Sus scrofa: one gene and its partner. The protein of the gene in region 1 interacts with the protein of each later gene in a biochemical or structural test. Links are inferred from orthologs where the notes say so. Each region holds a gene or a part of one and is shown in the gene's direction. Other genes may lie near its edges.

Region 1 (12,584 bases):
AAGTGTTTTTAAACCACAAACGGATGTTGACTTCACTTTTTTTTCTGTATTGAGATGATTGTTTGATTTACTCCTTTAATCTATTAAAATGATGACTAAGGGAGTTCCCTGGTGGCCTAGTGGTTAAGGATCTGGCTTGTCAATGCTGTGACTCAGGTCTCTGCCATGGTGCGGGTTTAATCCCTGGCCCAGGAACTTCCATATGCCGTGGGTGCTGCCAAAAAAATGATGAATACAATATTTTCCAGAGTTCTCATCGTGGCTCAGTGGTAATGAACCCAACTAGGATCCATGAGGATGTGGGTTCAATCCCTGACCTTGCTCAGTGGTTGAGGGATTCAGCATTGCTGTGAGCTGTAGTGTAGGTCGCAGATGCAGCTTGGATCCCATGTTGCTGTGGCTATGGTGTAGGCCGACGGCCGTAGCTCTGATTCAGCCCCTAGCCTGGGAAATTCCATATACCAAGAGTATGCCCCTCCCCCGAAAAAAGCATAAATAAATAAATAAATAAATAAATAAAATTTTCCAATATTAAGCTACCTTTAAATTACTGACATAAATTCAAGTTAATCTTCTTGTATTATCTTTTTTGCACATTGCTGGATTCAGTTTGCTAGTGTTTTATTAAAGATTTTTGTATTTCTGTTAATAAGTGAGATTGGCCTATAATTTTCCTTTTTAGTATTGCCCTTTTCCCATTTGGTTATCAAAGTAATTTTGGCTCCATAGAATGAGTTGTGGACTGTCCTTTCTTTTCCTAATTTCTCTTTCTTTCTTTTTTGCTTTTTAAGGCCACATCTGTGGAATATGGAAGATTCCAGACTAGAGGTGAGTCACAGTTGTAGCTACTTGCCTATGCCATAGCTACAGCCACATCAGATCCAAGCCTTGTCTCAGACCTACAAGCTCAGGGCAACACCACATCCTTAACCCACCAAGCAAGGACAGGGATTGAACCTGCATCCCCATGGATACTAGGCAGGTTCATTAACCACTGAGCCAGGACAAGAACTCCTGCCCTTTTTCTTTTTTTAAAGTCTCTGCTCCATTGTCACCTTACCAGAGAGGTCTTTCCTTGGGACCATATATTAAAAAAGCAAATATCTCCTGCATTCCCCCACCCCCTCCTTGTTTTGTTATTTATCTCCTGACCACCTATGTATAGATGTATTCATTGCCTGAATCTCACCACAAGAATGTAAATACCAAGACAGCAAGTATTTTGTCTGTTCCTAGTAGTTAGAATAATGCTTGGCAATGATAGGTGCTCAAAATATAATTTTAAATCAATGAGAACATTTTATTATGTGTCTGACTCCTTAGTCCTCAGCCAGCTTCTCTAGCTTTATTTTGGTGCATCTTGTTTTCTATTCTTAGCACTAAAAACACAGCACCTGGCACATGGCCTTGTACATAACTGTCACTTAGTAACAAATGAATGGATAAATGTTACATCCTAGGCTTTGCTTAAGTTTAATTAGCTCCATCTCCCTCTTGGAGAGTTTCTTTTCCTTTTTTTTTTTTTTTTTTTTTTTTTTTTTTGTCTTTTCTATGGCCGCACCTGCACCATATGGAGATTCCCAGGCTAGGGGTGTAATCGGAGGTGTAGCCACCAGCCTACGCCAGAGCCAGAGCAACACCAGATCCGAGCTGCGTCTGCGACCTACACCACAGCTCACGGCAATGCCAGATCCTTAACCCACTGAGCGAGGCCAGGGATCAAACCCGAAACCTCATGGTTCCTAGTCAGATTCGTTAACCACTTCTTAAACCAAAGGGAACTCCCTTTCTTTCTTTCTCCCTGACCTCTGCTCCCACCCGCAGATCTTCTTTTCTTCCCACTTGCCCCTCTTCTTTTCTCATCTCTCTTTTTTTTTTTTTTTTTTCCTCACATTTATCCCTCTTCTCCTTTGTCTGCCTTTTTTTTTTTTCCTTTTGCCTTTTTAGGGCCGCACTCGCAGCATATGGAGGTTCCCAGGAGCTACAGCTGCCGGCCTACACCACAGCTCACCACGATCCCGGATCCTTAACCCACTGAGCGAGGTCAGGGATCAAACCCGAAACCTCATGGTTCCTGGTCAGATTCCTTTCTGCTGCGCCACCACGGAGAACTCCTCTGTCTGCCTTTCAATCTTCTTTTTTTTTTTTTTTTTTTTTTTTTTGTCTTTTTGTCATTTCTTGGGCCGCTCCTGCGGCATATGGAGGTTCCCAGGCTAGGGGTCCAATCGGAGCTGTAGCTGCCAGCCTATGCCAGAGCCACAGCAACGCAGGATCCGAGCTGCGTCTGCAACCTACACCACAGCTCATGGCAACGCCGGATCGTTAACCCACTGAGCAAGGGCAAGGATCGAACCTGCAACCTCATGGTTCCTAGTCAGATTCGTTAACCACTGCACCACGACGGGAACTCCCAATCTTACTTCTTTAGTCCATCATTTCTCCTTTCTTTCTCCAAATTCTCCTTTTCTGCATATTAATTGTTCCCTCATTTCCTCCTCTTACTCCTCTTTCTCTCAGGGAACCATAAAACATCAGAATCAGAACTGGCCTTAATCTCTCACTCTGCAGATACGGAAAAGGGGACACCACAAGATGGCACAATTTGCTTTAAGGTCACAGCTAGTGTAAAGCTGAATTAGGGCAAGATCTCAGATTATCCCTTTCTTCCTCCTCTGTCTTTCATTTCTGCTTTTTCTTTTCTTTCCTAGCACAGTGTTGGCATCCAACTTGCATTTGGGTCTCAGTTCCATCACTTATAGTGGCGGCCTTCAACAAATCATTTAACTTCTGTGATTCTCAGTGTCTTCACAAGTTAACAAAGATATTAACAAGCACCGCAAAGGTGTGTTGTAAAGATTAAATAAATAACAAGTTGAACAACAACATACACAGAAGAAGAAAACCCTACAGCTAACATCATATGAATAATAGGGAGAAACACGAAGTTTTCTAAGATCAGGGACAAGGCAAGAACATCCCCTCACCACTTCCTTTAACATTGTACGGGAAATCCCTGCTAATGCAATAAAGCAAGGAAAAGAAATAAAAGGTATAAAAATGGGGAAGGAAGACATAAAACTATCTTCATAAAGGAAGACATAAAATATGTTCATAGAGGACGAAATCTTTTATGTAGAAAATCCGAAAGCATCAACAACAAAACCTCCTAGAACCAATAAGCAATTCTAGCAAGGCTGCAGGATCCAAAGGTTAATACATATGATTTCTTTTTTTTTTTTTTTTTTTGGTCTTCTTGCTATTTCTTGGGCTGCTCCCGTGGCATATGGAGGTTCCCAGGCTAGGGGTCGAATCAGAGCTGTAGCCACCTGCCTACGCCACAGCCCAGCGACGCGGGATCCGAGCCGCGTCTGCAACCTACACCACAGCTCACGGCAATGCCAGATCATTAACCCACTGAGCAAGAGCAGGGACAGAACCCGCAACCTCATGGTTCCTAGTCAGATTCGTTAACCACTGCACCACGACGGGAACTCCCAAAGGTTAATATATAAAAGTCAACTGCTTTACTGTAAACCAACAATGAACAAGTGGAATTTGAAATTAAAAATACAATGTCATTGAGCGACTCCAAAATGTGAAATTCTTAAGTATAAATTTAACAAAGCATGTGTAAGATCTATGAGGAAAACTACAAAACTGTGATAAATAAAATCAGAGAACTAATTAAAGGGAGAAACAATCCACATATCTGGATAAAAAGATATGGTCAAAACATCAGTTCTTCCCTGGAGTTCCCATTGTTGCTCACTGGGTTAAGGACCCCAGGTTGTCTCTGTGAGGATGCAGGTTTACCCCTGACCTCACTCAGTTGGTTAAGGACCCAGCATTGCTGCAAGCTGCAGCATAGGCTGCAGATGCTGCTTGGATCCCAAATTGCTGAGGCTGTGGCTGTGGCCAGGGCCTGCAGCTGCAGCTCCAATTCGATCTCTAGTGCGGGAACTTCCATATGCCGCAGATGTGGCCCTAAAAAGAAAGAAAAAAATCAGTTTCCTTCCCAACTTGACCTATAGACTCAATACAATTGCAACCACAATTGCGGGAAATTATTGTAGGGATATCAACAAACGGGTTCTAAAGTTTATATGGATGACACTAATCAACATGTTCATGAAACAAAAACAGACCCACAATATAGAGAACAGACTGTGGTTGCCAAGGGGGAGGGGGTTGGGAGAGTGAAGGATTGGGAATGTGGGATTAGCAGAGACAAACTATTATATGTAGAATGGATAAACAAGGTCCTACTCTATAGCACAGGGAACTATATTCTATATTCTGTGATAAACTGTAATGGAAAAGAAAATTAAAAAGAATATATTTGTATAACTGAGTCACTTTGCTGTACAGCAGAAATACAACATTGTAAATCAACTATACTTCCATAAAATTTTTGAAAATAATAAAAATAAGTGTACCAGGAGTTCCCGTCATGGTGCAGTGGAAACAAATCCGACTAGGAACCATGAGGTTTCGGGTTTGATCCCTGGCCTTGCTCAGTGGGTTAAGGATCCGGCATTGCCATGAGTTGTGGGGCAGGTCGCAGATGTGGCTTGGATCTGGTGTTGCTGTGGCTGTAGTGTAGGCTGGTAGCTATAGCTCCGATTAGACCCCTGGCCTGGGAACCTCCATGTGCCACGGGTGCAGCCCTAAAAAGACAAAAGACAAAAAAAAAAAAGTATCAAACTTCCAGTTATAAGATAAATAGGTACTAATGATGTAATATACAACATAATGTATGGTATAGTGGTTAGTTAACATTGTTGTATTGCAGATTTGAAAGTAGTTAAGAGTTCTCATCACATTGACAAAATTTTTTTTTTGATATATATATATATATATATATATGAGATGATAGATATTAACTGAACTTACTATGGTGGAGGAGTTCCCATTGTGGCTCAGTGGGTTAAGAACCCAACTAGCATCCATGAGGGCACAGGTTCAATCCCTGGCCTCGCTCAGGGGGTCAAGGGTCGGGTGTTGCTGTAGGCTGTGGTGTAGTTCACAGATCTGGCGTGGCTGTGGCTGTGGTGTAGGCCAGCAGCTGCAGCTCCGATTGGATCCTAGCCTGGGAACATCCATATGCTGCATGTGCAGCCCTAAAAAGCAACAAATAAACTTTGAGCTTAAAGTCCCTTCAGCAATAGCTCCAGCAGCCTACCAGTTCTGATTTTTCTCTTCATTTAACGACGTCTTTCCCTTTCTCCTCTTTCCATTACATATAAATTATTTCACTTCTCTGAGCCTCACTTTTCCCATCTGGAAAATGGAAATAATAATGGACTTTTTACACGCATCAAATGAATTAGGTAAAGCTGTTAGCTCAGTGCCTCATACAAGTGCCTCCAAGATATCATTAACATTGCTCTGATTTAACCTTCTGTAAGCCTGGTAGGAGATACAAAACACTACGAAAAGGTTAGTTGTTTATTTTTGCCCCCTAAAGTATTGTGGTAAATTGGAAAGATGGCTCCAGGCTCGAATAGACATGGGCTCCAAATAAAACTCTGGATTTTTTGTTTGTTTGTTCGTTTTTTTGCTTTCTTTGGGCCGCTCCCGCGGCATATGGAGGTTCCCAGGCTAGGGGTCCAATCGGAGCTGTAGCCACCGGCCTATGCCAGAGCCACAGCAACGCGGGATCCGAGCCGCGTCTGCAACCTACACCACAGCTCACGGCAACGCCAGATCGTTAACCCACTGAGCAAGGGCAGGGACCGCAACCTCGTGGTTCCTAGTCAGATTCGTTAACCACTGCGACACGACGGGAACTCCAAAACTCTGGATTTTTATGAGCTTCAATGTATGCCTTCCCTGCAGCTAGGATTTTTTTTCCTTCTCCAGGAATCAAAAGGGTTAATGTACAGGAATGCATCATTCAGTACATTTGCAAACATGAGAGATGGCGTCCTGGAAACACCATGGAGACACTGTACAGTTATGAGAATTCAATGGGTCAAATTTTAATTTTAAAAGATGCCTGAACAACAGTAAGCCTTCAATACGTGTTAGCTATTACTATTTACCGTTTCCACACTTGTCTCTTTCTCCTCCAAAAAAATGAGTGGTTGCAATAAAAATGAGACGATCTCTGCAGCTCAACTTCTATGGTCTCCCTCTCTCCTCCTCGTTTCACACCACCTTTTTCCTTATGTCCCTCTCTTTTTTTTTTAATTATTTTTTATTTTTTATTATTTTGTCTGCTATTTCTTTGGGCCGCTCCCGCGGCATATGGAGGTTCCCAGGCTAGGGGTCAAATCGGAGCTGTAGCCACTGGCCTATGCCTGAGCCACAGCAACGCGGGATCCGAGCCGCGTCTGCAATCTACGCCACAGCTCACGGCAACGCCGGATCCTTTAAGCCAATGAGCAAGGGCAGGGACCGAACCCGCAACCTCATGGTTCCTAGTCGGATTCGTTAACCACTGCGCCACGACGGGAACTCCCCTCTCTTTTTTTTAAATCCCCCTCTCTTTCGATTACAGCTTTTCTCTTGCCTCGGGAACTCTGACAAATTTTCAGACCTCAGCCAGCCTGAAGCTGACGCAGAACTAGCCGGTAGCAGGCTATCGCCAAGAGTTCCCTCTGCAAACAGCCTCTTGCGCTTGTCCAATAAAGTTTTATTGAAACAAAGCCGAGGAAAGGGCGCCCGTCATTCTTTCCGCAAGAGCCAATCAGAGAGCAGAACGCCTGCGTCGCTCTTGGGATCTTCATCAGTCGGAGGCGGGGACGGAGCATGTCCCGCCTGAAACCCGCCCCGTGAGAGCGGAAAGTAAGGCCGGAAGCCAGCCATAGAGTTTAGGGGCCAGAGCGACCGTGCAGGGAGGTGGCAGGAAAGGCTGGGAACAGCTGCCGGAGGTGACGGAGCGGTGGCCCCGCCCAGTGCGCTGGAAGAAGAAGCTTCCAGGTAGCGGCCCGCGGAGTCTGACCCAGAGTACGACGAGGCAGTCGGCGGGAGCCCACGGTCCCTGGGCGGCCTCTTTAAGGGAGGGGGCGGAGCCACGTGGAAGGATCGCGAGGGTGAGGTCACGTGGTTCGGGGCACCTGCGGGGTACTGTGGATTTGAGGGAGCGTCGTCCCGGTGGATACTATGTGACATCACCTCCCCCACTACGACTTGTGCCTTGGGGTTCATTGGGGTGCACGTGGTGGGGCTTGAGGTTAGGCCCAGGGTTGGGGGAGGTGGGCGTGGCAGCCGGATTTTAGCCAGGCTTCCTTCAAAGTGCCCGATTTTAGGGTTCCTAGGTCCGATGTTAGACTGCTCGATCTCTGGGTTGCGAGATAGAGCGAACTTTATTGTTGCGAAAGTGGCTCAGTGTCTCCAGTCCAGCCCTTATCTCTTGTGCTTTTCATCCTCCCCTGTTCAAGGAACTTCGCCTTCACATTCTCTTTCCTTGCAGCTCCAGACTTCCTGAGCCCAGGTCCCCCCAGCTCAGTGCAGCCATGAGTGCGGAGGTGAAGGTGACAGGGCAGAACCAGGAGCAATTCCTGCTCCTGGCGAAGTCGGCCAAGGGGGCAGCGCTGGCCACACTCATCCACCAGGTGCTGGAGGCCCCTGGTGTCTACGTGTTTGGGGAACTGCTGGATATGCCTAATGTTAGAGAGGTGGGTTCCTGACCTGGGTAGCCCACAGGGCAGCTTGACTAAAGTTTGAATTTGAGAACAGGCGGCCCGGGCTTATTTCGCAACCCCATGACCATACAGTTAAACAAGAATATGGTAATAATTAACCAACAGCTTGCAGAAATAAGTAGGCAAGTAAACCTCTTAGTTTCCCTTTGAGGATGAATGATCTGTAAAACTGAGTATTTTTCATTTTTGAACAAAGAGCCTGCGATTCAGAGTAGGAGACCTGATTCCAGCCTGTCTCTATCAGTGTAATAGCTCTTAATAATCATATGATCTTGATCAGGTTTCTTTAATTTTAGGCCCTAAATTTTCTCTTTTAAAAAAATGCTCCTGATACAATCCCTCACTCTTGTAGGAATCAGATGAAATTATGGGAAAGTAAAGTCTGGTACAAATGGAATAACTGACTGTGAAATTGGCATGCTCTGTTCTCTCCCCCTTTGCACCATATGCTAATTCACTTCAGTTAGAGTAGGTAGAAAGTGTCTTTTTCCCAAAGACACATAGCAGCATGCTAGGAACACAGAACTGTTCGCACAGAAGTGGCAGAGTTGAGTTTGAAGTCCACAGTGAGTGGGTTGCCAAGATATATGTCACCAACCCAACCCCCAAGATGGTATAACAATGGTAGGTGGGCAAACTGAGTTACGCTTTTGAGGGTCAGTGATTCAGTGGATTTAGCCTTTGGGGAACCTTCTGGTCTGAAGAAAGCTGGCTGCCTTCTTTCCCTGATGTCCTCTGCAGTGGAACTAAAAAGAATCAAGGTGAAAAAAAAGAACCATGTTTTGGGTGCCTGTTTAACACCTTGCTAGTTGAAGTTCCCATTGTGGCTCAGTGGAAATGAATCTGATTAGTATCCATGAGAATGTGGGTTCAATCCCTGGCCTCACTCAGTGGCTTAAGGATCTGGTGTTGCTGTGAGCTGTGGTGTAGGTCACAGACGCGGCTCAGATCTGGCGTTGCTGTGGCTGTGGTGTAGGCCGGTAGCTACAGCTCTGATTCGACCCCTAGCCTGGGAACCTCCCTAAAAAACCTGCCAAAACCCTACTGGTCATCTGGGAATACCAGAAGAGTACAAGATACAGTGCTCCCCTTCTGAGACTTACATTCCAGTTGCAGAGATAAGATGGATGGATATCCATGAATAAGACATTTATTTAGCAAGTGTTTAGTGGCAGTGCCAATCACATGCACATCTCTGCTAGACCTAAGTGGATTATAAGAGGCTGAGTCTGTGACCTTGTTGAAAAATACCCTTAGGTAACAACCTTAGGTGGGCTTTGACTTAGTGGATGATCAGCGGTGGGAGGAGAGGAGGCTGTGCTGGCCTGAGTGGGTAATGAAAGCTCCTGGGTGAGGCTGGGCTGAAGCAGAGACCACAGATCCCAGGGCCTGCCCAGACCGTACAGCTGTCGGGGGAGTGAGGCTGAGGCAGAAGTTGTTGGTGACTTAGGTAATACAGCAGATTCCCTAAAGATTTTCAAAATTGGAAATGTTAAATACTCTTTAAGGACCAAACAACATAGTTTGCAACATAAACGCTCTGAAAGTTTTCAGCCCTGAATGAGGGTAGGAATTGGAGGCAGATGGAGGAAGAGGGCGTTGTGGATTGGGGGCATAGCATAAACAAGGGCCTGGAGGTGGAAATGAGGCCTTGCTGTGGGAAGAGTGATCAGAGAGGCAGAGGGTTGCTGTCGGTGAGCTGCTGTGAGAGCTCCTGTTAGAGGGGAAAGCTGGGTCCAGAAAGTGGAATTCAAACAGGGTAGGGCTGGGAGGGTGGAGAGAGAGGCCCCTCCACTCACCTCTTCTCTCCCCTCATGTTCTTGCAGCTGGCTGAGAGTGACTTCGCTTCCACGTTCCGGCTGCTCACGGTGTTTGCTTATGGGACATACGCTGACTACTTAGGTATCCGGAGGGGCCGGAACTCTGGAGATGGGAGATGGGCAGTTTATGTAGAAGAAATTCTTGAGATACCTGACTTAGATCCCATAGGTACAGGGTCAAGGTCAAGACCCAAATTGGCACAGAAAACTCAAAAAAAAAAAAAAAAGAAAAGAAAAGAAAAATCAAGAGGAGAGAGGCTAGGGCTTCCCACACAAGTGAAATCAGGATTTTCTATACCTTGTTTTTTTTTTCTAGCTGAAGCCCGGAATCTTCCCCCACTCACAGAGGCTCAGAAGAATAAGCTTAGACACCTGTCAGTTGTCACCCTGGCTGCCAAGGTCAAGGTGAGTGACAGACCCCCCAGTCCTGAGCCAGGGAGCACTTTTTTGTGTCGGCTTCACAAGGGCCCATCTGAAGGGAATTGCACTGGGACAGCTTTGACCACAGTGGTGCTTCTTCCTGTTTCCCCACATTCCTCCAAGGTCTGTGTCTTACTCTGATACCTGTGGCCCTTTAGGTGGAACGTTATTCTCCCAGCTTTCTATTTTGTTTTTCTTTTTTTTTTTTTTTTTTTATTGCTTTTTATGGCCACACCCACGGCATATGGAGGTTCCCAGGTGAGGGGTCGAAGCAGAGCTACAGCTGCCTGCCTGTGCCACAGCCGCAGCAGTGCAGGATCCGAGCAACATCTGTGACCTGCACCACAGCTTATGGCAACGCTGGATCCTTAACCCACTGGGCAAGGCCAGGGATCGAACCCACAACCTCTTGGTTACTAGTCAGATTCATTTCTGCTGTGGCACAACCAGAACTCCTCTATTTTGTTTTTCAACCCACTTATGTTCTAAGTAAAACATCTTTTGTGTGTCAGGTCAGAATAGCAGCTAGGATGCCACTCACTGTGTTATTCCTCAGCCCATTCCTCCCACTGTATGAAGTCCGTGGAAGCAGCTGCAGTGGCCAGAGCTGGGACACACTCGCTCCTGGTGACGTAGCAGGCTTCTATTTGCTTGAATAAAAAATACATAACCCAGAAGCATCTTTGTATTTCCTGTTGGGTTCCATTCTTGTTAACTGTTTGCCCATCTGCATCTCCCAGTTGTTCCCTGACTCTCCCATCATCCCCATGGTTTGGCTTAAATCAGGCTCACTGCCTCTTTGGAAGGAGACCGTGTATAAATGATAAACAGAAGAGCTCCAGCCTCTCCTCCACCACAGCGTCCCGTAGGTCAAGCTCGTCTTGACCACATCCGTGTACTGTCCTGAGCTGAGCCAGAGGGTTGACACCCAGGCAGATGTCACCCTGTGGTGGGCTGGGCATTGAGGGGAGCATAAATGTTTTCCTTAAGATTGTCCTTTTTGGAGTTCTCCAGTAGCCTTGCAGGGTAAGAATCAGGCGTTGCCAGTGCTGAGGTTTGGTTCCCTGCTGTGTCTCGGGTTTGATCCCTGGCCCAGGAACTTCCCCATGGTGTGGGTGTGCCTGAAAAAAAAGTTGCAGAAAGGAAAATAATATTAAAAAAAAAAGTTCCCATTGTGGCTCAGTGGCATAAGAACCTGACATAGTGTCTGTGAGGATGCAGGTTCAACCCCTGGCCATGCTCAGTGGGTTAAGGATTTGGCGTTGCCACAAGCTGCTGTGTAGGTCGCAGATGCGGCACGGATCCGGGGTTGCTGTGGCTGTGGTGTAGGCTGACAGCTGCAGCTCTGATTTGCCCCCTAGCCTGGAAACCTCTGTGCCACAGGTGGGGCCGTCAAAAAAGACAACAACAGTCATAAATACATAAATGTGAACGATTCTCTTTCTTAGGATGTTATTTATCAGGTGGGAATACTTTCATTTATTTTGCCTTAGAACCTGCCTTTTACGGAAAGTGATTGAGGAGGAGGACTGGAGGGCGGGCAGTGGGGGAAGGAGGGAAGAAGAATCTTGGAAGCCCTTCTCTGTGCGGAACCTCACAGACCGCAGCCCGACCTCCGGGCCCCAGTGTATCCCATATGCAGTGCTGCTGGAGGCCCTGGCCCTGCGGAACGTGCGGCAGCTGGAGGACCTGGTCATCGAGGCCGTGTACGCCGACGTGCTTCGCGGCTCCCTGGACCAGCGCAACCAGCGGCTGGAGGTTGACTACAGCATCGGGCGGGACATCCAGCGCCAGGACCTCAGTGCCATTGCCCGAACCCTGCAGGAGTGGTGAGACCTGGGTCCCGGCACTGTCCCTCCTCTGCTGGCCCCAAGAAGGGAGGGCTGCTTTGGTGGAGGCCGGGGGTGGGGGGGGGGGGTGGCTGGGCGGCAGAGGCACCCCCCAGGAGCCTGAAGAGGAACTGGGAGGAGGAAGGGGGGGTCCTCTTGAGGGGATCCTCCCTGGGGGGTGGGCCAGGCAGGATGCAGTATGACCAGCGCTGTCCACAGGCCTTGGGCCTCTCTCACTTCTGTTTTCTCTGTGTTCTTATCTGACTTGGGTTCGTTAACACAGCTTCTTTTCTTCCTCTGGAGCACGTCCTGCCCCGTTGTGGGTTTAGTTCCTCGCCCATCACTCCAGGCACTTGCTTTCTCCTCCCTTAGCCTACCGGAGTGTCCTTAAGGCTCCCGGGGATCTCGTTGAGGTGGTTTCCACGGGGCCAGGCGAGGCTTCTAACGCAGACAGGGCTCCGGCTGCCCGGGTCTCGGGGTGTCTCTGTGTCCGTCTCGGGAGTCTGTGCTCGCAGCCCTCTGCTGACCCTCCTCCCGCCGGTTCGTGCAGGTGTGTGGGCTGCGAGGTGGTGCTCTCTGGCATTGAGGAGCAGGTGAGCCGGGCCAACCAGCACAAGGAGCAGCAGCTGGGCCTGAAGCAGCAGATCGAGAGTGAGGTGAGCAGGCAGGGGAGCAGGCCGGCCCGAGCTCCCACAGCTTCGGCTGGTTGTCCTGGGCAGAGGGGTCTGGACCGGTGCTGTAGCAGGCAGACCCGTTGGGCAGGGACCGCCAGGTTCTGGAACCTTCCTTGGTTTCCTTCCTTTCCTTCTGGTAGGTCGCCAACCTTAAAAAAACCATCAAAGTTACTACCGCAGCCGCTGCCGCAG
Region 2 (11,971 bases), on another chromosome or scaffold:
CTTCATTCTATTGGTCGAACCAGGTCTAGATCAAAGGGCGGGGAAAGAAACGCTCCTCTTGGCTGTGAAGCGCTGCAAATTCACATCGCAGAGGGGCGGATACAGAAAGGAAGAGAAGTGTGGAAATGGGCTGCTGCCTTATCTGGGTTGAGCTGCGTCACGTTTCTTTTCTGGTTTCCTTTTTGGCGGCCCTCTGCCCCTTGCAGAAGGGCCAGAGGTGTTGAACACACACTGCAGCAGTGACCTGAGCTGCAGCAGTGACGGCGCTGGGTCTTTAACCTGCTGATTGCGTTTCTTGAATCAGTGGATTGAGTCATTTCATTGTCCTGAGAGGTTTGCAGCTATCTCTCTTTTAATGTTGCCTCTGTCTTGTTCTGTTTTCTCCCCTAGGACGCCAGTGAAACCCCTGTTGGGCCTTCTTACTGTGACCTTCCTGGCCCTCACTCTGTCTTCTGTACTGTCCATCTTAATGCTTTTTCTGGATAAGTTCCTCTGACTTGCTTTCTAGTTTATCAGTTCTTCCGATATGTCTAATCTGCTGTTAAGAACTCCACAGAGTTTTAAGTTTGGTAATATTTTTTAGTTCTATAGTTTTGGGTGATACTTTTTTTCAAATGACACTTTTTTTTTGTCTTTTTAGGGCCGCACCCATGGCATATGGAGGTTCCCAGGCCAGGGGTCGAATCGGAGCTATAGCTGCTGGCTTACACCACAGCTATAGCAACACTAGATCCTTAACCCACTGAGCGAGGCCAGGGATTGAACCCGCAACCTTGTGGTTCCTAGTTGGATTTGTTTCCGCTGCGCCACAATGGGCACTCCCAAATGACATTTTTTATGGTTCCTAGTTTCTCGCTGAAATTTTAAAGCTTGTCTTTGTCTTTATAAACTTGATAAGCATAAGCATATTTCAGTCTTTCTGATAACTCCAGTATCTAGTGTTCCTGTTTGTTGCTATTGTTTGTTTTTATTGATTCCAGGTAATATTGTCATGTGTCTTATAATCTTGGTGTTGGGCAAATTATTTTATTTTATTATTATTATTACTATTTTTGTCTTTCTAGGGCCACATCCTCAGCATATGGACATTCTTAGACTAGGGGTCTAATCAGAGCTACAGCTGCCGGCCTACACCACAGCTCCCAGCAATGCCGGATCCTCAACCCACTGAGCACAGCCAGGGATCGAACCCGCAACCTCATGGTTCCTAGCCGGATTCCTTTCTGCTGCACCACGACGGGAACTCCTTCAGCAAATTATTTTAAAATGTATTTTTGAAACACCTGGAGGCCTATGACGTTACCTTTCAGAGAGGATTTTCATTTCTCCGGCCAGGCACCTGATGATGCTAGCCGTCTAGGGCCAAGGCTTCCACATTTATCGGTCTTCCTACTCAGTGATCCTTGGAATAGAATTTGGAACCTTACGGAGTGCTCGTGTTTCCTCCCTTGGCAAGTAAGAAACCTCAGATCCCGGTTCTAGTTTTGTTAGTCATCAGAAATTGCATGTGGACGCTCGGTATTTCTAGCAGGCGGCAGAACAGCCCTAAGCAGACCCGCTCGTTTCTCGCTGCCAGAAGAGTCGTCTCTGCCCTCCGCTCTCCACACAGTCAGCAAAGGCGTCCAGCGCCAGCTCGGGTTCCCTTCGTGGCGCTCTTAGTCTCTTGTGTTTGCTCTTTCTTGTTAGAATTATATGCTATCAATTTTTTAATCATTTCTTTCAGCCTCCTATGTTCTTTCTGAGATAGGGTTGGTTCAGGTGTCTGGTTCACTGTGATTATAAGTGAAAGCTCTGTGAATACATGCCTGTTAACACTCGTTTTTACTGTAGTGACAGTGGTACATTTGCGTGTGTCTGTTTCATTCACCTCTAGATTCCTTTTTAGTGCCAAGACATCGGGAATTGATATGCTGAATGTTGGTTCACAGATATCAGAGATGCTCCGTAAACATTTGTGGATGATAAATGGATAGGACAGATGCAAACTGCCTTCATTAATTCAATTTATTTTCCTCCATAATATTTTTTAATGAAAACATATTTGGTCCTTGTCATGTTCTCCACATGAGCCACTTTTCCATCTTTGCCATTGTTTTAGTTTGTTTTTGTTTTTGTTTTGGTGTTCCCCATATAGACCAATTGATGGATAAGTTATGAAACTATACGCTAAAACTTAAGTTATTAGCAAATTTTTATGTGAGGCATTGTTGTCTTTGAATATAATATTAGTATAAAATAACTTGTGGAATATAAGAGTAATAGAGTTTAGCTAGAGTCTTCATTTAATTGAATATGAAAAATAAGACAATCCAAAAGAAGAAATAACAAACCATTGAATGCATTAACTAAAACATGTCCAGGGCAATAAAGTAAATGTTTGAATATAGATATGGAAAATGTATGTGCATGTATGTGTGTATATATGTATGTATAGAGAGAATGTGATATTCCATGTAAATTAATTTTTTAAATTTTATTTATATGTTTAATTTTTTTTGGCCATAGAGTGCAGTGGCTTGATGTGGGATCTCAGTTCCCAGACCGGGGACTGAACTTGGCTGCAGTGGTGAAAGCACCAAGTCCAAATCACTAGACCACCAGGGAACTCCCTGTAAATGAATTTTTAGATAAGTGTATTTTATCCCTTAAGTGTAGCAATTTTAAAAGTAGTAATTTTTATTTTAAAGCTTGATAGTATTTCCTTCCTTTCTTGGAATAATTTGCCTCTCCTTTGGGAATTTGCGCTCTCTTCTCTCCGTTTACCTACTTTCTTACAAAGTCAGTTTGATTTATTGCCCTTTTGAGAAATCATACAACCAAGGTCGTGACAGACAATGTTGCATGAGCTGAGAACCAGTAAGTACTGAATTGTAGCTTGATGATAAGCCCTACAAAATACAAGTCATAAATTTGAATGAGTTTGGGCCCTATTTGTATATTTTTATTTCTTGACTATATTCTGGATAATGTTCGGAATAATTGCAATTAGGTGTGTAAAATGCATCAATTAGTGCTTTTAGTAAATACTATGGATGGTCGCTGGGGGCTCAGTGAGTTAAGGATCGAGCGTTATCACTGCTGTGGTGTAGGTTTGATCCCTGGCGCTGGGACTTCTACATGTTGTGGCATGGCCAGAAGATAAATAAGTAAATAAATATTATGATTGAGAATAACGAAAGGAATAAGAATAGAATCATGCTCATGTGGCAATTACTCAGTTTAAGAAGTATTACTAATACTGGTGTATTTCTGAGTGCTTATAGTGTGCCATGTACTGTTCTAGCTGTGTACATACAGCAGCAAACAAGACAAAAATCTCTATCCTCATGGAGTTTACCGTTTAGGAAGGCACTTGAAAGAAGATTGAAATTTTAAATTCAAAACTAAAACTTTAAAGAAAAAGGGCCACCTTAGATCTTGTAACTTACAGATTGACTCTTCTTGTTATGGGCATGAAACCTGAAACAATTGTGGTATACTTTAAAGAAGACTAGAAGAAATGGCACTTGGAATGAGAGGTTTAGGGTTTCTTGTGATGTACTGGAAAGTTAAAAAAAAGTCTGAAGTATCCCATAAGGAAAATCACAAACTAGAGCCCTACGAAGGAAACCAGGGTAAACAGAAATCATCAAACATCAAAGTTAGCATTAAACTCTATGGTGCCCTCTAAACACTATTTTTTGTTGTTGTTTTAGGGCCATACCCAAGGCATGTGGAAGTTCCCAGGCCAGGGGTTGAATTGGAGCTGAAGCTGCTGGCCTACCCCACAGCCACAGCAACACCAGATCTGAGCCACCTCTGTGACCTACACAACAGCTCACGGCAACGCCAGATCCTTAATCCACTGAGCAAGGGCAGGGATCAAACCTACGTCCTCATGGCTACTAGTTGGGGTTGTTACTGCTGAGCCACAACAGGAACCCCTGAACACTATTTTATTGTAATTTTTTGTGTTGTTTTAGGTATCGTCAGATCCTAGAAAAAGCCATTCAGTTATCTGGGGCAGAACAACTAGAAGCTTTGAAAGCTTTTGTGGAAGCGAGTAAGTGGAATGAAAAATCCATGTTTGCCTCATGTTCCTGAGTTAGGACTTAAAAGCTTGCTCAGACTTTGTTTTATATCAAATTGTCAATATATTTACATTGAGGTTAGATTAAATATGCATTGAGATTGATTGATTTTAGACTTTAAGCCACTTATAACTTCACAGTGGATTGTTTTTCAGGAACTATGAAGACATCGTTACATTCACAGTTAAAGTTTTGTATAGTTGTTGACAGAGTAAGTGATGAAAGGCCATATAACAAATGGATTCAAGTCCTGGTCTGCTGTTTTGTTAGCTGTGTGATCTTGGGTAGGCTGTAGAACCTCTTTGTGTCTCCTTTTCCTCGTCTGTAAAACGGGGGTATGATACGTACCCTGTAGAATTGTTGGGAGATTAAATGAGTTAATATACGTAGTAAAGTGCTTAGAATAGCGCCTGGCATGTGATAAGTGCCAGGTAAGTGTTAGCTGTTTGTTGATGTTACGAACATTTCTTTCGAGCAGGAAGTAGAAATTTCCCTTCTTCCAGACACCCTCCCCCACTCCCTGATTTCAGACATACCCAGTTATCTTGCAAAAAACTCAAAATTCAGGTGAGAATTTATTCTGAGTTCACAATACTAATGCTACTTGATAGTGTGCTTTCACATACATTATGTATCACACAGCTTCTTTTCATAACCCTCTACTGAAAATGCAGCTGTAGATAGCCCTGTATAATAGATTTTAAAATGTGTCTCAGGATTAAGTGACCTTTTTTCCCAAGGACATTCAGCTAGTCAGTGGTAGAGCCCAGACTAGAAACTAGATTTTCTGATTTATAATTCTTCTTTTACTTATACTTCCCTGAGAAGGCTAGTTTGTATACTAATTTCTTTCTTTCTTTTTTCTTTTTCTTTTTTTGTCTTTTCTAGAGCTGCACCCGCGGCATATGGAGGTTCCCAGGCTAGGGGTCTAATCGGAGCTGTAGCCACCAGCCTACGCCACAGCCACAGCAACGCCAGATTGGAGCCCTGTCTGCGACCTATACCACCGCTCACAGCAGCGCCGGATCCTTAACCCACTGAGCGAGGCCAGGGACCGAACCCGCAACCTCGTGGTTCCTGGTCAGATTTGTTAACCACTGAGCCACGACAGGAACTCCTATAGTGGTTTCTTTCTAATAGTTATAGGCGTCTACGGCACTTTTAATGAAACTGTTTTCTGGAGTTCCCATCATGACGCAGCGGGAATGTGTTAAGTGCCATGTGCCAGGTATTATTTAAAGTACTTTATATAAATACTGCACTTAAGCTTCACGACAGCCTTATCCACATTTCACAGAAGAGGAAAGAGAAGCACAGAGAGGTTAAGTTTTTTGTTGGAGGGCGTATAATCAGGAGTGTTTGGAAGTGGTGTGGCTCCAGAGTCTTCATCCTTCATCACATGTAATCATACCTCATAAATGTTTATAAACAGTATCGTGAAATATGTCTATACATCTAGTGCTGATCAAAGATCTTATTTTTTCTTTTTTTGGGGAAAGTACAAGTGGCAGTAACTGTCACTACTTGCTCTATTTAAACATCATGAAAATTATTTCGCTTTCTATTCATTTTTGTAGTGAAGTGGGATATGAGAACACAAATGAAACTATAGGTTTTTCTACTCAACATCACTAATTATTAGAGAAATGCAGCTTAGAACTATAATGAGGTCCCACCTCAGACTGGTCAGAATGGCCATCATTAAAAAGTATACAAATAACAGGGAGTTCCCGTCGTGGCGCAGTGGTTAACGAATCCGACTAGGAACCATGAGGTTGCGGGTTCGGTCCCTGCCCTTGCTCAGTGGGTTAACGATCCGGCGTTGCCGTGAGCTGTGGTGTAGGTTGCAGACGCGGCTCGGATCCTGCGTTGCTGTGCCTCTGGTGTAGGCCGGTGGCTACAGCTCCGATTCAACCCCTAGCCTGGGAACCTCCATATGCCGTGGGAGCGGCCCAAGAAATAGCAACAACAACAACAAAAGACAAAAAAAATAAATAAATAAATAAAAATAAAAATTTGTTAAAAAAAAAAAAAAAAAAAAAAAAAAAAAAAGTATACAAATAACAAATGCTAGAGAGGGTGTGGAGAAAAAAAACAGCCTATGCTGTGGGTGGGAGGTTCCTCCAAAAACTAAAGAGAATTACCATATGGGAGTTCCCACTGTGGCCCAGTGGGTTAAGAATTCAACTAGGATCCAAGAAAATGCAAGTTCAATCCCTAGCCTTGCTCCGTGGGTTAAGGATCTGGTGTTGCCTCGAGCTGCAGCGAAGGTCACAGCTGTGGCTTGAATCTGGGGTTGCTGTGACTGTGGCGCAGGCCTGAGGCTACAGCTCTGATTCACCCCCTAGCCTGGGCACCTCCATAGGCCTCAGCTGCAGCCTTTAAAACAAAAAAAACCAAAAAAAAAAACCAATGCCTTTCGCAGTAACATGGATGCAACGGGAGGATTATTATAAGTGGAGTAAGTCAGAAAGAGAACAGCAAACACCACACCATATCACTCACAGGTGGAATCTAAAATGTGGCACAAACGAACCTATCTACGAAACAGAAACAGACTCGTGGTTGCCAGTGGGGAGGGGGAGGGAGAGAGATGTACTAAGAGTTGGGGTTAGAGGATGCGGAGCGATGTCCTTTAGAAAGGAAAAACAAGAACGTGCTACTGTGCAGCACAGGGAACTGTTTCCAGTCTCCTGGGACAGACCATGATGGAGCAGAATGTAAAAAAGCACGAATGTCTGTGTAGAACCCAGGCACTCTGCTGTCCAGCAGAAATTGGTGCAACATTGTAATCAATGATACTTTAATGAAAAAAGAGACAAAAGTAACAGTGTTTCGGAGTTCCCATTGTGGCACAGAGGAAACGAATCCGACTAGGAAGCGTGAGGTTGTGGGTTCGATCCCTGGCTTTGCTCAGTGGGTTAAGGATCCAGAGTTGCTGTGGCTGTGGTGTAGGTCGGCGGCTACAGCTCCGATTAGATCCCTAGCCTGGGAACCTCCATATGCTGCAGGTGCGGCCCTAAAAAGCAAAAAAAAAAAAAAAAAGTAATAGTGTTTCTTCACTTTATAGAGAAATAAAGAAGAGAAAGGAATGATATAAAATTCTCAACTGTTGAAACTTTTCCCCAGCCATTTCTGTTTCTTAGAAAAGTTGTGGTATTTTTACTGTTTTGCTGTAGTTATGTAATCAGATAATTCAGCATAAGGAAAACTGGTTCTGTAATATAAGAGTGTGTGGAGTGTGGAGATCCCTAAACAATGCTTTGAGAGGTTCACTAATACATATGATTTTTAGTATTAATTTTAGTAAAGATGGATTGCTTAATGGAAACACATAAATTACTCATGTTTTCTTATCCCTTATTTTTTTTAACAAGTGGTAAATGAGAACGTTAGCCTCGTGATCTCTCGCCAGTTGCTGACTGATTTCTGCACACATCTCCCTAACCTGCCTGATAGCACAGCCAAAGAAATCTATCATTTCACCTTGGAAAAGATCCAGCCTAGAGTCATTTCATTTGAGGAGCAGGTAAAACCTAGAGCACTGACTTTTGTTTTGCTTTGTTTTTAGGAATCTGTTTAGGATGTGTTTTCTTTTTAAATTGAGGCATAGTGGATGTACAATATTATATATATATAAGTTTAGGTGTAAAACAGTGATTCATAATTGTTAAGGTTATATTCCACTTACGGTTATTATAGAATGTTGGCCATTAGAGTGGTGATTTTTGACCTTGAGATAGCAGCAATTATTTTTAGAGACGCCGTTACATTTTTAAAGGTGATAATCATTGTTTCATTTTTACAAAACAGTGTGCCAAACATTTTTTTTTTTTTTTGCTTTTTTGGGCCACACCTATGGCATATGGAGGTTCCCATGGTAGGGGTTGAATCGAAGCTACAGCTGCCGACTTACACCACAGTCACAGCAAGGCAGGATCCAAGCCGCATCTGCAACCTACACCACAGCTCATGGCAACGCCAGATCCTTAACCCCCTGAGTGAGGCCAGGGATCGAACCCAAAACCTCATGGTTACTACTCAGATTTGTTTCTGGTGCGCCACAATAGGAACTCCCCGAACAGCATTTTATAATGTAAGCTCAAATAATATTACGATGTTTTACGTCCAGCTAATATTTGCTCATTTACTACGATTGGTTTTATGAACTAAATGTTACTCTCTAGACAGTTGTCAAACAGCAGTAGAATTGTTGATTCGGCCAAGAACATAGGAGAGGTCCGTCATATAGGCAGCGACGTAAAAGCAAACCTTGATATTTGAGCTAAATAACTGCATGATCCGCATTGTAGAAATGTGTCACATCAGCTCATTATTTTGATACACTCTGAATGCAAGATTCATAGACGAATCCGGGGGTTCCAGGTGAACTTACTGTTGACTTGCCTGCTTCGTGTGTGGAATGCGAGCATTCTCACAGTAGATTATCTTCTGGCTTCGCGTTACTAGTATCAGTGGAAATAATTTAACACGTATACCTCCTATTCCAGGTTGCTTCCATAAGACAGCATCTTGCATCCATATATGAAAAAGAAGAAGATTGGAGAAATGCGGCCCAAGTGTTGGTGGGAATTCCTTTGGAAACAGGACAAAAGTATAGTAGTGGACGTTGGATGGATATGTATAATTGTTCACTTTTTCCTTATACTCTAGTATAGGAAACAGATAATGACCAATTGAGTAAATAAGTTTTGTGCTGTTGGAAGGTGAGCGGTGCTGTGGAGAAAGGCGGCAAAGTCGGGGACAGGATGTGTCACTAAACCGTGTCATCAGCGTGGTAGGGTGGTCCTGGGGTCGCCTTCTCCAATGCCGGAAGAAGGGGAGGGAGTGGCTGCGAGCTGTCTGAGGGAAGAGCATCAGTAGGGCCTCTTAGAGAGCAGGGCTGGTGCAGAGGCCCTAGGGTGGGAGCATACTTGGAGTGTGTTAAAAGGGCAGGGAGACCTCTGGACGGGTAAGCAAAGTGGAGAACGAGGGAGGTTGAGGTCAGAGAATACTTGGGACCGGCTTTGGGGGGGTCTTGTAGCCATTGTAAGGTCTTTGCCTTTTTTCGAAGTGAAACAGCAGGGCCTCATTGGAGGGTTTTGTGCGGAGGACTGATGTGACCTGACTGATATTTAACTACCAGGTGGAGAGTAAACCGTAGACCTGCAATGACGTTGTAGGGCAGGATGTAGGAGGCTGTGCACTCCTGCAGCTGAGATGGAGAGTGTGAGAAACGCTGGATTCTGGGTGTGTTTCTAAGGTAAAGCTAAGGATTTTCTGACAGCTTGGATATGGACTATAAGAAAAAGAGCCTAGATAAGTTCTGATTTTTGGTCCGAACAATTGGAAAAAAGAGTTGCCGTCTGTTGAATGGTGAAGAATAGATTTGAGGGAAGATCAGGTGCTCTCTTGTGGACCTGTGGTAACCGAGGGGCAGCATCTGGTAGAGAGCCGACTGTTTATGAGTCTGGACTAGAGATGACAGTTGGGAGTCATTGGTGTCTAGACGGAGTTTAAAGCCTTCGGGCTGGACGAGATCGCCGAGGGAGGGGCTGCGGTGAGGGGACTGAGCAGTGAGCACTCTGTCATCAGGGGTCAGGGCGGGAGGAGGGCGCAGCTGGTAAGGGTTGTCCACTGGGGTAAGAAGACAAATCGGAAGAGGGTGGAGTGCACTGTCCTGTAAGTCAAATGAGGGGACTGTGTCAGGACGGAGCAAGTGACCAGCGTGGGGCTGATGGTCAAGTAAGAGGAGGGTGAAGGTTAACCTTGGAAGTTAGTAACGGAGGTCGTTGGGGACCTTGACAGAAGCTGTTTGGGGAAATGGTGGGAATGGGAGCCTCGTTGGAGTTGGTTAAGAGAGAGTGGAAGGAGGAGCCCCGGAGGTGATGAGCTGATCAGCTCTTTGGGGAAGTTTTCATAAAGGGGAGCAGAGAAATAGGGTAGGAGGTGACAGCAGCGGCTGAGGTTATGTTTTCTTTTATGAGTGAGTGGAAAGCAAAAATTTGACATGGGGAGTAGTGGGAAGGATTGTTTTTTTTTGTTTGGTCTGCAGCCACCGCATGCAGAAGTTCCCAGGCCAGGGATTGAACCTGCACCATAGCAGTGATCCGAGCCACAGCAGTGACAATGCTGGGTCCTTAACCTCCTGAGCCACCAGGGAACTCCTAGAGGATTCCTGCAGGAGGAGGCAAGAGGCGAAGGAATCCAGTGGAGGGGTAGGCTTCAGATAGGAGGCTGGGTCGTTCCCTTAGTACTGTTGCTTTCTCTTTTTTTTCCTTACGGCATTCCGGGCCAGGGATCCGATCTGAGCTGCAGTCGCAACTTCTGTTTCAGCTGAGGCAACGCCAGGTCCTTAATCCACTGTTCTGGCCAGGGATGGAACCTGCGTCCCAAGATGCAGTTGATCCTGTAACGCCTCAGTGGGAACCCCACTCTTGCATTTTAGATTGCATAATTCTTTGCTGTGGACTCCTGTATATTGCAGGATGTTTAGTAGCATTGGGGGTCTCTCCACGCAGTGGATGTCAGCAGCACCACTGCTCCTAGTTGTGACCGTCAAAAATGTCTGTGGACATTGCTGGATGTTCGCTGGTGGGCAGAAGAGCCCCAGGGATCTATGATAACAGGCAGGAACACAGAGTACATGGGTACAGGTAGTGGTGATGGGGCGAGGGGTTTGTGCAGGCACTGTGGGATTGGAATCGGGCATCAGCTGGAGGCGTGGGTGGTGGTGGGGACTGTGAGGCCGAGGAGAGGAGATCAGAAGATCAGGTCTCTAGGAGAGTGAGACCGTGAATGGACCAGGAATGCACAGCGCACTTGGCAGCATTAAAGGCCGTTTCACGGTCGAAAAGTGAGGTCAGGTTCGATGGGTTGGGCGTTTTTCTCCATCAGAGTTCAGCTGCGCGGTTGCAGGAAAGCGGTGGGTGGACTGTTAGGTTTAACCAGCATTACGATTTTGCCCAACAAGTATGACAGCATGAGAGGGACAAGGGAGACGAGTGCAGATGCAACTCAGTGATTGTAATGATTGACCTTGGGAGTTGGGCCAGGTGAGGAGGGAAGGGAGGCCTTTAAGGGGGAGAATAACAGTAACGGTGTAGTAGGATCAGTGGTTTGGGGTCACAGTGGGTTCAGTGGGTTGTTGGGTTTATGATACTAGAGCAAATGAGATGGAAAAACAATGAAAAAATTAAGATGATAGTTTGTCTTATTCAGCCAGTCTCACCTTCGATATGTACTTTTAAACGTCCTTTTTTCCCCTTTTTTGGCTGCCCCTCGGCACATGGAGTTCCTGGGCCAGGGGTCAGGTCTGAGGCACAGTTGTGACCTCCACCACAGCTGTGGCAGTGCCCGGTCCTTCAACCCACGGTGCCAGGCCGGCGCCGCAGAGACACTGCTGATCCTGTGTGCCATAGCAGGAACTCCCAAATATTTATAGTTCTTTATGAAGCAGCCCTCCAAAGATATTGTACAAGAAGTACCAACTGTGAATGACTTAAAAAAGATTTTCAGTTATTTCTCTACTCTTTTACCAGGTGAATGAAGGCTTCTTTTTTTGTCTTCACTAGTATTTGTGATCATTAGGCACCTGCTTCTTCAGGCATCTTGCCTTTTGCGCATTTATGAAATTGTTAGGCAGTGATGCCCCTGAAAAAGCAGGCAGTATGTAAAAAAGCCTTTGTATGTAGATTTTGAATTTTGTTTTCTAAGGCTTCTTATTAATTCGGTTTTTTTCCTTTGTTTGAAAAGGCTGGTGGCTTTCTTAATTGCTTTGGTCTTCCGTTTTGGAGCAGTTTCTCCCTAGCACAGAGCAAATGATTTATTTTCATTGGTAGTTGAAATAAATGTAAAGTGGATATTGTTCATTGTAGTGGTAATTATCATTTTGAGAATAC

What was found.
Region 2: the proteins of COPS7A (region 1) and COPS4 form a complex in vitro, tested with the Homo sapiens proteins (2 studies listed by BioGRID). The link is inferred for Sus scrofa from reciprocal best matches to the Homo sapiens genes COPS7A and COPS4.

What each region holds. Positions count from the first base shown.
Region 1 is NC_010447.5:63,971,665-63,984,248, reverse strand, and holds the start of COPS7A (COP9 signalosome complex subunit 7a), read left to right. Parts: upstream 1-6,778; 5' UTR 6,779-6,924; exon of another isoform or gene 6,925-7,037; intron 7,038-7,041; exon of another isoform or gene 7,042-7,177; intron 7,178-7,417; 5' UTR 7,418-7,460; coding exon 7,461-7,622; intron 7,623-9,475; coding exon 9,476-9,551; intron 9,552-9,785; coding exon 9,786-9,874; intron 9,875-11,515; coding exon 11,516-11,718; intron 11,719-12,268; coding exon 12,269-12,374; exon of another isoform or gene 12,375-12,532; coding exon 12,533-12,584.
Region 2 is NC_010450.4:135,297,026-135,308,996, reverse strand, and holds part of COPS4 (COP9 signalosome complex subunit 4), read left to right. Parts: intron 1-1,335; exon of another isoform or gene 1,336-1,455; intron 1,456-3,962; coding exon 3,963-4,042; intron 4,043-7,447; coding exon 7,448-7,599; intron 7,600-8,581; coding exon 8,582-8,685; intron 8,686-11,971. UniProt on the Homo sapiens protein: Component of the COP9 signalosome complex (CSN), a complex involved in various cellular and developmental processes.